Mus musculus: one gene and its partner. The protein of the gene in region 1 purifies or fractionates together with the protein of each later gene. This does not show direct contact. Links are inferred from orthologs where the notes say so. Each region holds a gene or a part of one and is shown on either strand. Other genes may lie near its edges.

Region 1 (5,443 bases):
ACCAAAGAGGACTTTGGATCCCATTACAGATGGCTGTGGGCCACCATGTGGGTGCCTGGAATTGAACTCAGGACCTCTGGAAGAGCAGTCAGTGCTCGTAACAGCTGAACCATCTCTCCAGCCCAAAAATGAGTTTTTAAAAATTACACTCAACCACAAGGAGGCACAAGCCTTTAATCCAAGCACTTGGGAGGCAGAAACAAAGGCAGGCAGGTCTGAGTTCAAGACCAGCCTAATCTACATGGTGAGTTCCAAGTCAGCCAGGGCTCCTAGAAGGACCCTGCCTCAAAATACATCTAACCAATTAAAAGTAATTAAAGTAGAGGTGAGTTTAATCAGAATTTTACCATTAAGGAAGCAATTTTTCTCTAAATTTACACAATTCTGAATTTCCTAAATCCTCACATTTAACCCTCTTTACCTGCTGACATTTCACTGTTCATTAAAATCACCAATTCTAGACTGATTTGGAACTGGTCAAAAGGGAACGGACAATGAATGCTTCAACTTTAAAAACCATTCGGTCCACGCAGGGGGTATATTGTTCAGTGGTAGGGTGTTTGCCTAGCATTCAAAAACTCAGTGCGTGTACCACAAACAAAACAATCCAGTCTGGCCAAAACCTTACTTCAAAAACCCCTTACTATGGGAAAACCCCATCGTGATGCACATGCCACACACCATATGATATGAAACCCCGTTGAGATGCACGTGCCACACACCATATGAAGTGCTTTGATGGTAGCAGAGGTCAGAACGGGTAATGGAGCCTGACACGTGGACTTTCTGCACCTCCTAAGGATCTACGGTAGGCTAAGAGTACTTACATCAGTCCTCCAGAATAAGTGCGCTGGGACGCTGACTAACACTGCACAGCAGGGAACAGAGATCTGGAAGCACTGACACAGTTTTTAAATCTTTTATTTTTGTGCGGTGGCAACAAGTTACAAAAGCACAGGAAGTTCTTTCACTCAGAGCCCTGGGGCTCAATTGTATGTCATGTAGCGGGGAGTAGCGCTGAATTTGGCGTAAGACTTGATGACCTTATTTACAGCTTCTAAGAAGTCCTTCTCTGTAGCAATTTTTCTCCGTGCTCGGATTGCAAACATACCAGCTTCTGTGCAAACACTTCTAATCTCCGCTCCTGTCCGACAGAGAGAAAACACGACTGTTAATTACGGCAGCCCTGAAGACCGACGGGAAACCAGGGAGTCCGCCTGCCACTCACCAGTACTGTTTGGACACAGGCGGGCCAACAGCTCAAATCGAATGTCTCTTTCCACACTCATTGAGCGAGCGTGAATCTTAAAGATGTGCGTTCGACCCTAAAAATTAAGGAATTCACATATATTAAAATGAAAATGTATAAAAAGACAAAAGTTGAAGAATTTTTTTCTAAAATCAAATTCTGTTTTGACCTCTAAGTCAGGTAAGCTGAACTCAATCTTCCTGTCCAGCCTCCCCGGTCTCATGAGCGCTGGGTCCAGAGTGTCAGGGCGGTTAGTGGCCATGAGCACCTTGATGTTGCCGCGAGGATCAAAGCCATCCAGCTGATTGATGAGCTCCAGCATGGTTCTCTGCACTTCATTGTCACCCCCAGCGCCATCGTCAAACCGAGCCCCTGAGAAGAAGGCAGAGAAGCAGCTCATGTCCACTGCGAGCATCACCACTCAGGACCTGAAAATGCCACCCCTTGGCTCACAGCCTTCCCTTACAGCTAAGTGCACAACCTACTTTGAAGTTATAAAACTAATTGCAAAGCAAAATATTTCAAAGCAAAACAAAATGAAATGAAAAGCAGACAAAACCCAGTTTGTTTTGTGTTGGCCTAGGCCTGCCCTGGGTGAGGGTGATAGAAACTGTGACGCTCCACTGGAGAATAACGAGGGCTCCTTTCCCAGCAGGCACCAACTGCAAACTGCTTCATGGGAAGGGATGAGACCTTGTGTCCACTTTCCTTGCTCAGGGCTGGAATTTTGCCCAGTTTGAACATGGTAGAAAAGAATTGACTCCCATAGATTTGTCCTTTAACCACACACACTAAAAAGTAACTAAATCAATAAAATATCATTCATACCTCCAATGGCATCAATTTCATCAAAGAAAATAAGGCAGGCTTTTTTTGTCCTGGCCATTTCAAAAAGCTCACGAACCATTCGAGCTCCCTAATAAGAAAATTTGGTTATTACAGAGTTGGTTTCAAAATCTTTTAAATTATAATAAATATACTGCACACCTTTCCTAACAGCATTCTCAATCAGTATCACCTAAAGCTTTTTAAAAATACCTGAAGTTTGAGCCGGGCAGCGCGGCTCATGTCTTTAATTCCAGCACTCAAGAGGCAGAGGCAGGTGGATCTCTGAGTTCATGGCTGGCTTGGTAGAGAGAATTCCAGGACAGGCAGGGATAAACACAGAAACTCTGTCTCAAAACAAAACAACCCCGTGGTTTGCTACCTGTATTACCAAATTAATACTGCTAGCTTCAACACAGTATTCCATAACTTTCCTGACTACTAAACAGCACTAAGGTTCAGACAAGAAGGTGTGAAATTAACATTCTTTGTTTGTTTGTTTGTTTTTGTTTTTGGAGACAGGGTTTCTCTGTGTAGCCCTGGCTGACCTGGAACTCACTTTGTAGACCAGGCTGGCCTTGAACTCAGAAATCCACCTGCCTCTGCCTCCCGAGTGCTGGGATTGAAGGCGTGCGCCACCACGCCTGGCTTGAAATGAACATTCTTAAGTGAAGTAAGCCCAGCAAAACTTGAGTTAACAGAAGTATTTGATCTGTCACTTGGAACTACTCAACACTGAATTTGATTAAGCTTTGAACAAAATATTAAATTAAAATACATACTAGTCAGGTAGCCCTTCTGGTGATCCATAAGCATATTAGACAGTATGTTTTAGATATAATATATACAGCCCTAGTCTTTAACCTAAATATTTAGCTAGACAATGTGTATAGATACCCATGCTCAACATATAGACAACCCATGTTTTCTTTCTCTTTAAACCACAGAATACTGTCCCTAAGATAAAATTTTGTTTACCCAGCATTTCTGAGGTTTTTGTTTGTTTGTTTGTTTGTTTTACTTCACATACCAAAACTACACTAAACTCCATTCTTCTGGGGAGGAAACATTGCTCAAAAAATTTTAAAGTAGCCTACTTAAGAATTATTATTTTCAATTTAATTTTAATCTTATTACTTATTCACTTTACATCCAGCTCATTGGAATTAATGTCTAATTTTATGCAAATATCACATATCTCTCACAGAACAATAAATGCCGTTATTTTGACAAATTCACTTTACCTCGCCGACGTATTTCTGTACGAGCTCAGACCCAATAACTCGAATGAAGCAAGCATCAGTCCGATTGGCAACTGCCCTAGCACAGAGTGTCTTGCCTGTGCCTGGTGGCCCAAACAGCAGTACACCCTTTGGAGGCTCGATTCCAAGGTTAACAAACCTCTCTGGCTGTAACAGACACAAATTTTATACAATAAAGATAAAAAATAATATACAGAAACAATAATTTAGATCTATAATTTGTATGCTTGATCTAAAGTACTTTTACTTATTCTAAGGTATAATATCTAAACCAAAATCATATCAATATATCTAAATGACTTTTAAAAATGCTTTAATTATCCAGCCTTAACAACTTATTTTCACTTTAAAAATTATAGTGCCTAAGAAATCAATTTTCAGGTATGGCATGTTCCTATCCTCTAAGGCTTAACTTTTTTCTCTTCATGTCACTGAAACAACCATTTTCTTCTATATATAGCAACAGTAACATACTTAGATAGTACTATCGACCACTGCTAATTTCCTTTATCAATCTAAGTAACAGATCTGTCTGATAATACACCTGGCTACTCAATTCTTTTGCTTGCTCCCATCTGAAACTCACCATCTTTTCCCACCACCGCCGTGTCATAAGCTTTCATTAGCTGTGGGAACACAGGCAGTGCTAGCACTCACTGCATAGAAGGCTGTCAGGTCTTTACACAAAGTTGCTGCAAGACACTCAGCTACTTACATGGAGCAGAGGGGTTTCAACTACTTCTCGCAATTTCTCAATCTGTTCCTTACAGCCACCAACATCACTGTATGTGACGTCGGGTTTTTCCTCCACCTAGGAAAGAAAGATTATACAACATAGTCTTAGGCTTTTGAGTAGCAGACCAGATCCTCCACAGGAAACCTAATACCATAACAACCAGTCTGTAACAAGAATGTTCATAAAAAAGGAGTTAGAACTATTTAGTATAAGTTAGGAGATTAATTGCGGTGTCCTAGAACTATTTGTTGTGCTACATATTATGACATAAGTGACAATTACTGATAAAGACGTCTCAAAAATCCTTTTCATTTTTTGGTAACTTTTTAGGGCATAAGCTCCATTAACTGCTTAAAAGCTTCAAACTCTTTTGGAATAGATACAATTGCTTTTTTGTGGGGGGGGGGGGGCTTTGTTTGTTTTTATGAAATAGGCTTTTGCTTTGTAGCCCAGGCTAGCCTCAAGCTCACTATGTTGCCCAGGCTGCCTTTAGTTTGTGGCAATCCTTCTGCCTAAGCCTTCCAAATGCTGGTGTTATAGATGGGAGCACTATATGCCTGGCTTGCAATTATATTAAAGTCATGCCAGTCCCCTCCCCCAGGTTTCTTACCTGCATCATGGTAACTGTTGGGTCGATCTTAGGAGGTAGTGGAATGTGAATTTGGTATTTATTTCTGTCCACACTACAGAAGTAAAAATAAAAACAAAATAGATGCTCTTTAAGTTTTCAGAGGACTTTTTCTAGCTAGTGTTTAAGACCAAATTATAGGTAAGCAAAAGAGAAATTACGAAGAGGAAAGTTATAGAGTGACTTTTTAGGAAGTCTACAGGCATCCAGTCAGTCCTCATTAACTGTTCTCAGGCAGTGCTGCCTCCACCTTAGCTGAGCGTCCTTAACTGGGACACATCAAGCCATGTACAAGACAAAACGGTGGGAACAGGAAGGCTACGCTGCTGTGAGGCCAAGGAGCTCACAGAGGAGGAAAGCCTGGGGTTGCACCAGCCCTTAGTACTCTACGGCACTCTGTTTTCTCATTCAACATGAAGGCATGGTGCCAGCTTACCCGACTCTCATCCCTTCTTCAATGTCAGTGGGTGCCACCTGATCACTGAGATCCACCACGAACTTGGCAAACTGCTTCACATTGATGATGTATTTTGGGTCCTCCGAATCAGCGTTGATTATCTTCGTACATCTACCACAGCAAAAGGCTTCATGAGAGTAAGGAACCCAAACCACCAACGGTGAGGTCGTGTTAGCGGATCGCTCCCAGGGCAGGCAGGGCAATAAGGAACAAGTGCAGACCAAAACTGCAGACACAGGGCCACTGCTCAAGATCCTTCTGCCCAGCCCCCAGGGCCTCTCAGACT
Region 2 (5,443 bases), on another chromosome or scaffold:
GAGAAGCTGCTCCTAGAGCAGATGCTACAGCAAGCTCTTGTAAGATACTCCACTGCAATGCTTTCAACTGCAGTCTATATATAGCAAAGGAAGCGTTGGCAGAACGTAAGACCGGCGGTTCTGAGTGAGTGCACCTGTGACCCCAGTGCTCAGGAGGCCAAGGCAGGAGGAGCAAATTCATCCCTGGCCTGGACTAGACTGACCTTCTGTCTCTAAAAGAAACCCAGTGTGGCAATACAGTCACAGACTCAGGCTAACCCCTGCTAGGCAGCATGGCAAGTCAAGGCTAGCCACAAAGGTAATACTAATAAAATGCTAAGTTTAGGAGGCTCCTGTCATTTACTCCATTACGTCATCTTAGATGATTTGTATAGGGGAATGAGATTAAGAAAATTCCAAATTCAAGTAAGTCTGACCAAGTTTCTTTACTAATGATGAAACAAAAATTTAGATGGTATCCAGAACAATAATAAGTTTCTTTCAAAAATTTATCACACATTAATGATTTATACTCTGCTAACATGTTACAGAAACCATGTCTAAAACTTTCCCTAAAGAAAACAGCTAAAAAACCAAGTTGTTACCTAACTCAAAATGTTCTACATAATAACCAGCTGAATTTTGCAAAGTATTAAATGGGGGTGGGCCCAGGATCTGCACCTCAACCCTCCCCACAGAACCATTCAGATACTAGGAAGGCATGGAGTCACAATGTTGTTTTTCACCAAACAACCAAGAGATACAAAGAAAGGTGCTTTAAATACTAACAAGGAACGCTCCTTAGAGCCTGAACTGGTTATGTAAACAGACATACCTGTTCTGTGTTTTGATGACAAGGTGAACCGTAAGTCCATCATGAATCCCATGCTGACTCAGAGTATCTTGATCTTTTAAAATTTTTCCAGCAAATATCAACACAAGTTGGTCAATATGAGATTTGAAACGTTTAGAGATTTCCTCTTTGAACTAAATAAAAGAATAAATTACATATGTTTTTAATAACATCGAAGTTTGTACAGTACCACCCAGACTGATTTGTAGAAGTTCTTCCAGAGGCCCTACTAAGCATGCTGCATCTCCCCCTCAGCGTGCAACCAACCATCCCGTCTCTAACAGGAAGGACTCACTCCACATGTCAGGGCTGTGGCTCCTGCACAGATGGAGACGACGCGGTGTTTGTTTCCTTCTTTTGCCAACAGGACCCAATGGAGTAGGGGTCACAAAGGGGCTTTGCTAAGCTTATTGTAACTGTCCCCCCAATCTCCATCGTTAGCCCCCTCTCTTTTGAATTCCAGTACACACACACTGGCAAGCTCACATTCGCAGCCATTTTTACTATCCTTATCACTTCTTTCATTCAATGCCTATTGCCAAGCAGTACCACCGAAAAGCAAGAAGGAAACAGGGAAATCTTTTCCAGAGACTCAAATAAATTATAAACAGAGAAAGCACAAAGACAGTTAAAGAAGGCTTTCCAGAACTGAAAACCAAAAGAAGAAATACTAGGAAGATATCAGGAGAACCTGGAGAACTGCCTGCAGGGGAGCAGAACGGCCTGCGAATGCAGAGGAAGAACAAGACACTGCAGACACGCTTACCATCCCTTAAGTCTCTACTAACTAGCCACGTATCCAGGCTTCATTCAAATTACCTCAGAGTGGCCTGGGAACCCACAGTAACAGACTACACCAGAGCACCACAGTTGAAACCTAGAGTCTCTTCATTACAAGTCTACCTACCCACTGCCACAATGAAACATGTTACACAGACATGAATCCAATGAAAAAGGCTCAGTGTTCCAGACTGGAAATACTTCTGGAAGCCGCTAAGTTGTCTTTAACATCAGTAAGTGACCCTAATTTAAAAATATCCCAAATCTAAAACGTGTCACATTGTCACGCAAAGGTCTCAGACTCAGATCACGTGGGAGAGGGAAACTCAGCATCTGCACATCTAAGGCTCAAAACTCTCACAGGAGCCTGACGTGGTGGCGCACGCCTTTACTCCCAGCACTCGGGAGGCAGAGGCAGGCGGATTTCTGAGTTCGAGGCCAGCCTGGTCTACAAAATGAGTTCCAGGACAGCCAGGGCTACACAGAGAAACCCTGTCTCGGGAGGAAACTGTCACAGGACCATCAGGAAGAGGCCAGTCAGAGAAAACACTGCTGCATGTTATAACCAAAGCATTCTGTACATTTATATATGAACGAAACCCTCAAGGTAAGTCTCAACACTGCGTATACACCTATCATTCTGTGTGGTTGGTTGGGTTCTGAGACAGGATGTCACTCTGTAGCAGAGAGTGACCTCAAACTCCCAGTGGAGCCTCCCCAGTCCTGGCATCACAGGTTTGAGCACATCACCCAACAACATGGATTTTACAACCTACCTTCTCAACTCATGCACACAAACAAACTTTTGAAAAGGCCAAAAAGCATATACATGTAAAATGTACTAAAGTAAATATTCTGGAACTTTCACATTTGAGCCCCACCCTCCCATTTGAAACTATATGTTATATAATCTTTTTGTTGATGGTGATTTTTTTGAGAAAGGTCTCTACATAGCCCTGGCTATCCTAGATCTCATTATGTAGACCAGGCTGGACTCAATCTCACAGAAATCCACCAGCTTCTGCAGGTAATTAAACAAGTGTGCCAACAGACTTGGCTATGTGATATATAATCTTTTTACCTAGATATTTCCAGGTGACTTAAAAAAAAAACAATCTTCACAAAACACCATTTATATTCTATAGCATTCTCTATGCAAAGAGCATAACTCAACCATCTGTTAGGTAGTTCCTAATATAAGAAAATATTTTTATAAGACTTAAATTACAATGCATAAAATACAAGCATCAAGCACAGTAGTGGTGGCCACTCTTGCTGCTCTCTCTATCCACAGGAACTCTATAAGGATGAATCTTTTTTTCAAACACAGAGAAAAGGAATTGAACACTTGGCCCCAAATGGTGTTAATAATAAATTGCTGAACTGGGTTTCCAGCATAGGTCTGATTTCAAGGCCAAACCGATACAGATCATACACAAAATAAATCAAGATATATTAACTAAATGTGAAACTTTTATTATAGGTTTATTATAATCAATAAAATACATGCTGGGCAGTGGTGGCACAAGCCTTTTATCCCAGCACTTGGGAGGCAGAGGTAGGCGGATCTCTGAGTTCGAGGTCAGCCTGGTCTATAGAGTGATTTCCAGGACAGCCAGGGCTACACAGAGAAACCACGTCTCAAAAAAACCAAAACAAATAAAATAAAATAAATAAAATGCATTTAATACGTAAAATGAGAAAGTTGATCTATATCAACTGTTTTAATCTTAAACTCAGAAAGGCCCTGATCTCCCTCACATTCTGAAGTAAATAACTGGCCACCATGGCTGGGCCATTGAGATAGCTCAGTGCATAAATGGGCTTGCTGCCAAGCCCAGCAACCTGAGATCTATCCCTGGAAACTTCATGGTAGCAGGAGAGAACTAGCCTTTGACTTCCACACGTGTATTGTGGTTCATGCATGGGCGCGCACAAACACACACACAAATAAACAAGTACAGTTCTATAGCACTTTATAGTTTGAAGATTTGAAGGTAAGATGCTAGACCTAAGGCACGCTCCTACTTTTGCCTCCAAATTCCAATACAAAAGGATGTTTTTAAGCTTCACCAGGCATTGTGACACAAACCTTTAATCTCACCTCAAGGGAAGCAGGGGCATGAAGCTCTCTGTGAGTTTGAGGCCACCCTGGTCTACCCAGGAAATTCCAAAACACCCAAAGCTACACAGTAAGACTCTGTGTCTTCAAATATATATAGCTCACATGCCATATAATATGGCCACTTGAAGTGTGTAATTCAAAAGTCTTCAGTGTATTTAGAAATAGGCTGCATTGCTAAGAGTCAATTTCAGAGAACATCCTCATTCTCAAAGAGAAACCAGTAACCGCTCTCACTTTCCTGTGCGCTCATTAATTCCATCCCCATTTCCCAAAAAGCCCCACTAATTTACATTTATGCCTATAAATTTGCTTATTTGGTACCACTCATTCATAGCCTTAACCTACTCAGCCGTCTAGGGTGGTCCTTGGTACTGACTTGATAGTGTATTTTCAGGGTACTGCACACTGAAGTTCCCAGAACAACAACAACAAAACCAAACAGTGTACCTGTACTTAATGACTATGGAAACTAAGACCACTGCAGACCAGAGACAAACTGTCTTAAAGTCTTAGTCTCTTTGAGTGTCATCACTCACGTCTCACTTCTGTGTCTAACCCAGTCTCACTGAATGGAAACTCTGGGACTGCATTAGGTTACTGTTCTCCTCCAGCCCAAACCCTAAGAAGCTGCCGGGCGGTGGTGGTGTCCATCTTTAATCCCAGCAGTTGGGTTTGAGGCCAGACCAGTCTACTGAGGAACTCGAGTTCCAGGACTATACAGAGAAACCCTGGGTTTGTTTTTGTTTTTTGTTTTGTTTTGTTTTTTGAGACAGAATTTCTCTGTGTAGCCCTGGCTGTTCTGGAACTCACTCTGTAGACCAGGCTGGCCTCGAACTCAGAAATCCACCTGCCTCTGCCTCCCAAGTGCTGGGATTAAAGGTGTGTGCCCCCACACCCGGCTGAGAAACCCTGTCTTGAAATCCAAAAAGAAACAAACAAATCCAAAAAGAAACCATTATATCTAAAAAAACATCTGATACAGCAATTTCCTCTCTTCACTGTACCCACCTATCTGTGATCTCGACCAATGTAACTGACAGAACTACTTTATTTTATACTGACACATCTTGTAACTACCTCCACAGCAGACCTTGCCTTTCAAGATACCCTCAGCACATGTTCCTGGGCCATAGTCAAGTTATATTTGGTCTGTGTTCTGCATCACCATTTCTTTCTATAGCTCCCTCATCTCTACAGCATCCCTGGTGACTGCTGGCATCCATTCATCTTACTTTCCTCCTAGCTGTACCAGAGGGAAGGCTGCCAGAGCCTCACCAACACAGCTTTGACCTGTATTCTCCTGACAACACAACGGTACTGTGCACCTTTCTGCATGCTCACCACCCACCTTCCTTGTGTGTGTGAATGTGGTGGCTGCACACATGGACTAAACTCAGGTCCTCACACTTGCAAGTAAGCTTTGCCCAAGATTCCCCATTTTCTTGAAAGCTGAAAACTAGCAAAACACCCAATCTCTTATAGAGCCATTTCTCACCTCATTTCACACAGCCCTCCGAGACCAAATCTAGTAAAGGAAGCGAAGAAAAAAAAAACCAAAAAACAGGATTGCTCCTCAACAGAGGAACAGCATCAGATCTAGTCAGTGTCCCACGTGGGCTCTAGGGGGCGTGGAGGGAGGCAAGGCTAGATGGGCATGATCTAAATACATATAGAAACAAACACACATTTTCAAAGAATACAAAATA

Evidence for each region.
Region 2: the proteins of Psmc2 (region 1) and Ubqln1 purify together in Homo sapiens (affinity purification with western blotting; 3 studies listed by BioGRID, with this or other methods). This does not show direct contact. The link is inferred for Mus musculus from reciprocal best matches to the Homo sapiens genes PSMC2 and UBQLN1.

Annotation. Positions count from the first base shown.
Region 1 is NC_000071.6:21,799,248-21,804,690, reverse strand, and holds the end of Psmc2 (26S proteasome regulatory subunit 7), read right to left. Parts: intron 5,269-5,443; coding exon 5,137-5,268; intron 4,756-5,136; coding exon 4,683-4,755; intron 4,148-4,682; coding exon 4,052-4,147; intron 3,484-4,051; coding exon 3,319-3,483; intron 2,166-3,318; coding exon 2,078-2,165; intron 1,622-2,077; coding exon 1,419-1,621; intron 1,326-1,418; coding exon 1,229-1,325; intron 1,145-1,228; coding exon 987-1,144; 3' UTR 904-986; downstream 1-903.
Region 2 is NC_000079.6:58,198,105-58,203,547, forward strand, and holds part of Ubqln1 (ubiquilin-1), read right to left. Parts: intron 967-5,443; coding exon 815-966; intron 1-814. UniProt on the Homo sapiens protein: Plays an important role in the regulation of different protein degradation mechanisms and pathways including ubiquitin-proteasome system (UPS), autophagy and endoplasmic reticulum-associated protein degradation (ERAD) pathway.